Nothobranchius furzeri: one gene and its partner. The protein of the gene in region 1 interacts with the protein of each later gene in a biochemical or structural test. Links are inferred from orthologs where the notes say so. Each region holds a gene or a part of one and is shown on either strand. Other genes may lie near its edges. The genes, in order: gabbr2 and kctd12.1.

The links.
Region 2: the proteins of gabbr2 (region 1) and kctd12.1 form a complex in vitro, tested with the Homo sapiens proteins (2 studies listed by BioGRID). The link is inferred for Nothobranchius furzeri from reciprocal best matches to the Homo sapiens genes GABBR2 and KCTD12.

The regions. Positions count from the first base shown.
Region 1 is NC_091759.1:14,401,948-14,405,773, forward strand, and holds part of gabbr2 (gamma-aminobutyric acid type B receptor subunit 2), read left to right. Parts: intron 1-526; coding exon 527-692; 3' UTR 693-3,826. UniProt on the Homo sapiens protein: Component of a heterodimeric G-protein coupled receptor for GABA, formed by GABBR1 and GABBR2. Within the heterodimeric GABA receptor, only GABBR1 seems to bind agonists, while GABBR2 mediates coupling to G proteins.
Region 2 is NC_091754.1:27,985,299-27,988,951, forward strand, and holds kctd12.1 (BTB/POZ domain-containing protein KCTD12.1), read left to right. Parts: upstream 1-1,283; 5' UTR 1,284-1,628; coding exon 1,629-2,489; 3' UTR 2,490-2,957; downstream 2,958-3,653. UniProt on the Homo sapiens protein: Auxiliary subunit of GABA-B receptors that determine the pharmacology and kinetics of the receptor response. Increases agonist potency and markedly alter the G-protein signaling of the receptors by accelerating onset and promoting desensitization.

The DNA of each region.
Region 1 (3,826 bases):
ATTACGCACAAGCGTGACGCGTCAACCCGGTCTCACAGTAAGACCGGTTTGGACCTGTTCAGGTTTACGCAGACAATCTTTACATTTAGAATTGGCTTACAGATGTAAAATTAATGCAGTAAAATATAAAGCATTTCATTTAAATATCCATTCATTATTTTACAAGCACAGAGAGCCGCATCAGATGGATGGAAGAGCCGCATGCGGCTCCAGAGCCACGGTTGCCGACCCCCGATAGGGAGAGAATCTCATTATGTCACGTTGCTGCATCGATGCGGAATCACGCAAGGCTGAATCGTGATGCATCTTAGAATCGATCATTTTTCCCACCTCTAGTTGCAACCCACTATTGAATTTTCCTAAGTAAGTAGGAGTAAGCAGACTTCCCAACAGTATAAGACTTATTTTCAAGGTGCATTGCTACAACAAAGACATGGGTGATTTTTTTCAGATTTTGTAATGTCTAACTAACAACCACACACAATTGTAAGATCTAACAATTTTCCTTCCATTTCTTTATTTGCAGCATACAGCGTCGACTGTCTTTGCAGCTGCCCATTCTGCACCATGCATACCTACCTTCCATAGGTGGGGTTGATGCCAGCTGCACCAGCCCGAATGGAAGCCCAGGTTCCAGCCCAAGGCACAGACACATGCCCCCCTCCTACCGAGTAATGGTCTCTGGCCTGTGAGCTTCGGCATCCCTCCCACCTTGTGTTTTGCAGAGGAGACACAAATGGTTCTTTTTTTTCTACAACGAATAGACTGATATCGTCAGCGTCTGTGCGTATTTTGTCTTGGACCATATAAGACTTGGGGAGAACAGAATGAGGGGGGACCAAGTTTCACTCATTATACCTCTGCACCCCCAGTCTCTTGAGAACTGAGTGTCGGTCCTTAAAAACGTTTGTGATTAACATCCCTTTGGCCATCTTCCCCTCAATCTAGGCCTATACACGTATGCACAGTCAGACACAGACAACACAGATACAAATGCACAAACACAATGACAGTCCAACAGCTGCGGTGGACCAGCTCTAATCTCATGTGTAGCCTTATCTGCTTCAGAGGGGATTATTTGTTTCTGTCAAATTTTTTTATCTGTTGTATGTACTGTATGTGCTTGCAGCTACATCTGAGCATGTCATCGAACTTGAGCATTTTAGTGCTTCAGAGATTGGATATTAGTTAAAGAACAAGAAATGTGCAAGATCCTACAAAACAGAAAGACACCACCCCCTTTCCAACCCTGTGCAGACATGTAAATATCATCGTTTCCAACATTGATGTACTGTAAAATGTGTATATGCTGTGAATGGATGATTAAAGGGGTTTTTAAGTTTGAACTGTGTAACAGAAGCAAGTAGATATGAACATCTCCATTGAAAACCTACAAAACAAAGTCTCCTATACATCAGAGGAATACCAAATACATTTGTTAGCGTAACTATTATTATAGTAGGTTACAGGCATCAAACAGACGCATGTCATATTTGTCCAATCTGGACGTAGGTTCACAGTGCTCTTTTTTCTGTTTTGCTCATCATTCCGCTGCTAGTTTATGTTAGAGCCCCCTTGTCAGGCTTAGCTGAGGCTTCCATACTCTACGGCTGGTTTGATTTATCTTCAGAAGGCATGTCTTACAGAAAATGGATGCTATGTCTTTTAATAGGTCTCCTAGTATGTGTTAGAAAAATAGAACAAAAAATAAAACACCACAGGATTTATTTTACATGTTACATAATAGGAAATGCACAAATACAGATGTTCACTTAAAAGCCAAAAGAGCACCATATGATTTACAGCTAAGGATGCATGAATTCGTATTGAAACCCACGGGTTTATCCATATGGATTACTAAGATGTCATATCTAACTACCATTCAGAGCATTGGGGGTGTCATTGACCTAGAATTGGAAGAGTTTCTAAGGAATGAAGCAAATTCAGAAGAAACAAAACTAAACGAGGGACGGTGGAAAAAATGTAGGTTTACTGTGGGAAACCTGAATTTCCATCCAAAGTCATAAAGGCAGTAGACTCGTGGAGGTCTGGAGTTCTTAGCCCCAAGTGACTGTAGCTTCAGTTTCCATGCAGCGACGCCACAGCTGTTGGTCACGGAGGTGCACCACAAACACAGGGCTTTCTTTCACAGATCAGACCAAGTATCCAGAAAAAATCGTTCATGCTTAGCAACAGTGAACATACCTCGTTGCTACAGAAATGTAAACCCGATGAAGCGTCGCGTGTAACGTTTTTTCAAGAGTATCGTTGGTTTTCACAAAACCAGGAAGTGCAGAAGGAAAGCAAACTGGAACTCTGTTGGAGGGGGGTGAAATACTTTTTTATCGGCAGTGAGAAGGTTCGTTCTCAGCATATTGTTTCACCATTGGTGTCTTGGTTTTTATTTTTTAAGGCGTTTGTTAAACGCTGTGCCTGTTGTCTTATCTTGTAGCCTGCAGGACCCACACTACGTACTCTGGGTCAGGATTGCGCTTACCCAGCAACGTGCATTGGCCACACATCTGTAAAACTGTACAATGTGTCATAGATCAACTTAACGTGTCTGTGAACGGGACAGTGTGGGGCGTAGCTCCGCTTCCAGCCCTCGTTTGTGAACACTGGTGGAGCGGAAATACAAACAAGCAGAGACCCAACTGCTGTCAGACATATCGGGGTGACTCCCACTCCTCCCCTTCCAGGCCCTGCCACGCACAGGAGCAGGGAAACCCTGAGCACAGAATCTCCAAGGAGTCACAGTTCCTCCTGCACCTTTGCCAACCAGAGAATCACAGTTACAGAAGATGTGAGTGGGGAGACGATATCGAGAGGGTTGGTTCTTCCTTCAGGAGAAATAAAAAATAAAAAAAACAGCCAACCTGCACATTTTATATATGACATTATATGTGATTGTGTACAATTTGCTGATACCCTGATGATGGTGTCCATGTATGGAGTATTTGGTATTGGCTTTCTCAAGATGGCATGAAATAAAATGTATAACTCACAGAGTTACCTCTGTTTTTGCAACTGTTGTGACAAACCCACTCTGTTCCATCTTCTCATCTGCAATTTGGTTGATTCCCTTCTGAGTTTTCGTTAATCCTGCCGTCAACGCCAAGATTCTCAGTGAACAAACTCGACATATTCCTATCAAACTGGTTAAGCACCTGTTTACTGAGAGCAATAAAGCTAAAGCAGCAGCTACTGGTTAATTTTAATGAAACCACCCCTGTAATTTACAAAAATACTAAATTATTTTTTCTAAACCATCCAAAACCCCAAAAGCAGATCACGAGGTGTCATTTCGTTTTAATGCATGTATTCTGTTATCAATCATTTCAGTTGTTTTCATGGATAAAAATAATGTTCAAATGCCATTATTGTGGGTCAAGGGCTCGTACTATCCTGTAATGAAGAGCGCCATGCTGATGGTTTGTATTTGCCACAGGTCTGTTTACCTTTTCAGTTGGAAAACCGATGTGACATATATAATAATATCTTTGTATGTTTCATTGTCAGGTTCTCTGGAGAATACAACTTACAAATGCAGAAATATAATGATATGAAAAGTTTATTAAGTGGAGAAACACAAAGGTCCATTCTGTTACTGTTTTGTCATTTCTGACGTGGGCATCACGTTCAATCCCAACTTTAAAACGATGAACAAAACTTATATTAATGCAACTTGTTCAAGAGGGGCAATAACTTGTTTTCTTATTATGGAAAGAATAGAGAATTATATATATATATATATAAATAAATAAATATATGTATATGTAAAGATCCTTATGTACGTTCTCGTTTTTAGGAAACATTTCACAAAAAT
Region 2 (3,653 bases), on another chromosome or scaffold:
CAAACCTGCTGCACCAGGTGTGTGTTCTGCTCTCTGGTGGACAGTCTGAGTACTACAGGTGACACGTGCCATTAGAACATTAAAGAACATCCAACATAGATTTATTGTTATTTATTAATGATAATAAAAAGTTCAACAGAAGTAAATTTTTAGATATTTTTTATCATGTAAAAGCATTTAAAAGTTTAATATCTCTTCAGTGATGTGTTGTTTACATGATTCTTTCCTATCTTGACCTTTTATATTTTCATTACATGCTAAATCTGTCCACCCAGCATGTTTAGAGGTTCATACGTGACCTCTGTGATGAAATATGGGAGGTTTTTGTTCGTGCAATGGTTCAGCTTGATGAGGCCGCTAAGTTTCCAGACATAAGCTTCAATTGTTCTTTCAAGTGATTCAACTTAAAAAAGTATCTTGCTCGTCCGGGCCACATTGTCCCTTTAACCTTATAAAATTCTGAAAACATCTGCTTTTCTAAATGTGTGCTGCTTATAATGTGGTTTAGCTAATGTTTGGACGTTTTTAGTTTAGCCTCATAACTTTACAGATGTCAAGAAAAAGAAGCTGACACTTTGGTCAAAATCTTAAGAGATAAATAGTTGTGCCCAACACAAACACACAATAAGCAGGTCCAAATGTTCACACATGAGATGAGAAGCCATCATGAATGAATGAATGAATGAATGAATGAATGAAGAAATAAATAAACATCCGGAAACATCAGTGGGTTTCCAAACAGGGAAAAAAAAAAAACTAAAGCCAAAAAAAGGAAGATGCACAAAGTCAGATCTAATAGGGAAAATGTAGAAGTACAAACCCTTAAAGGAACTGGATTTCAGGAAATGATAATAAAACCAAACAAGAACAAGAATTAATAAATTTGAAATCCATGCGTCAAAACTAAACACACCAAACTCAGTTCCATGTTTCACTTCCTGCTCTAAAACGTGGAACAAAAAGTGATAATTTAATCATTCTCTAATCCTGCTGAATTTCTTAGAAGAAATGCTTGATTTCTATTTTTCATTTACCAATTCAAAGTGTCCAAAAATTCCAAGGTGCAGAAACTTTGACTAAACTCTGTTATGCTGCTGAATCCGGAGAGAGAGAGCGAGAGAGAGAGAGAGAGAGAGAGAGAATGAGAGAGAGAGAGAGAGAGAGAGAGAGAGAGAGAGAGAGAGAGAGAGAGAGAGAGAGAGAGAGAGATCATGGCTGCATTTCATTGGAGCTACTGTAGGTGTCACTCTCTCCATACATTCTAATGGTTCCTTCAAAGTAAAAGCATAGATTCTAATTGAACATCATTTATTTCACTATTTAAACCCTCAGGAGGAGGTGCTGCTTTAGAAAGACACCAGGCTGAGATGAGTCCCATATGGATGATACTTTTTTTTTTTGGGTGAAGCTGCCGGATAAGGCGCATGGCTCTGCTTTTCCGCCTTTTATGCGTAAAACCAAGAAAGCTGCACAAGACAGCAACTCAATAGTTAAATGATAATTTAACAGTCACCCCCTGCGTGCACGCGCACATCCGCACGTGTTAAACTCAGGCTTCATAAGCCAGCAGCTGGGACTGGCACCTCAGTGTTTTCCTCTGATCCTGTCAGCGCAGTAGCTCGGAGAAGATGGCACTGGCAGATGCAGAGCGCGGGGGGTCCTGCTGCGGGGACCCCGGCTCCCTGTTCTCAGAGATCATCGAGCTGAACGTCGGGGGACAGGTTTATGTGACCAGACACAAGACTCTGATCGCCGTCCCGGACTCGCTCCTGTGGAACATGTTCAGTAAGAAGTCCCCCAAGGAGCTGGCGAGGGACAGCAAGGGGCGCTTCTTCTTGGACAGGGACGGCTTCTTGTTCCGCTACATCCTCGATTATCTCCGTGATCTGAACTTGGTCCTGCCGGACTACTTCCCGGAGAAAAGTCGGCTACAGAGGGAGGCGGACTTTTTCTTGCTGCGGGACCTCGCCAAACGCCTCAACCCGCGGGTGAGTAAGGACAACTCGATCAGTGAGGAGATCAGCCAGAGCGACACGGAGGAGGGCGCGCAGCAGTCCTTCGGTGGAACCGACACTTTACGCACTATGTCCGTCACCGGGGCCATGCGCTCCCCGTCCCTGGATTCCAGACGCTCCGGCTACATCACGATAGGATACCGCGGCTCCTACACAATTGGCAGAGACATCCAAACCGACGCCAAATTCAGGAGAGTCGCGCGCATCACCGTCTGCGGGAAGACTTCTCTGGCCAAAGAGGTGTTCGGGGAGACGCTGAATGAGAGCAGGGATCCGGACAGGCCCCCGGAGAGATACACGTCCCGCTACTATCTGAAGTATAATTTTCTAGAGCAGGCGTTTGACAAACTGACAGAGGCGGGTTTCCACATGGTGGCCTGCAGCTCCACCGGCACCTGCGCCTACACCAGCAACGACCCGACCGAGGACAAAATCTGGACAAGCTACACCGAATATGTATTCTGTCGGGAATAGTACTCATCTGGCTCGTCCGTGCCGCTCTCCGTGTAAATATGTGTCATAATTTAGAGGGGAAGGTCTTTAAAGTGGTGACGTTTAGTAAAGGCGAAAAACGCAAAACGCGCCAAAAACAGATTTTACGCATCGGATTCTAAGCAGAATAAGCGGTGCAGCTTTGAGGTACAAAGAGAGCACAGCATCATCCAACCCGACACTTATCCAAAGCTCTATATTGCATAATAAACTATCATCTTGATCATCATGTCAATGTTTCAGTCATATCTGACTCAGCTGTGAGAGCTGAGCAGAGACCAGGAGCAGAAGCAGCCATTAGTATTCAGTGTGACTTCGAGACTCACTTGTTTGGCCAAGTTTTGTAAGATCTTCTATCGGTTTGATCGCTGCAGAGATTGTAAATGTGCGTGGAGTGTTCCTTGTGTTTGTTATTAAGTGTTCAGACTAAATAAAAACAATCTTCTACTCTTTTATTCTCAGCTCTTTGCCAAATCATCTGCCCCCTTCTGCAGCCTTTACTCCATGGGGGGATGAAAGCCCAGAAATCTTCCTCCTGCATGGCACTAAAGCAACCAAACAAAAACTGAAAACCTTTTCTGGCTCCATCAACTCCAGAAAGGTTCTGTTTAATCACAGCTGCACGTGAGTTTAGTTACAGCTGCAGCAGAAGGCTCACTTTGACACACAAATCCAGCAACGTGGATGCAAATATTGCAGCTGTGCACACATGATGTCATTATCATTTCAAGTGTAAATAATGAAAGGGTCCAGCTGCACACAAAAAGGAGGCTGCAGTCTGCCAGGGACTGGATGAATGGAAAATCGATGACGGGCCAGCGTGCAGTCAGCTTCACCCAAAATGGAAAACAGGGTTCAGACCACCGCCCACCCACGCCCTTTTTGGTTTGACTCAAACACTCAGCTTGCTTTAACACATTGCAGAAACTTTTGCAGCTTGGTAGAAAATTATAATTCTTGTGTGAATGTGAGCTCAAACTCAACCTGTTTCTGGTTATTATCTGCATAGGCATTTTCTTTTAGATGCTGTGGAAATGTCACATCATGGAGGCACACAGGTGTAAAAATAAAGATGGACCAGTCCCATTTTATCTGTCTTGGCTCCTGTGAGCTGACATAAACTGCTGATAAACTCCACAGAAAGAC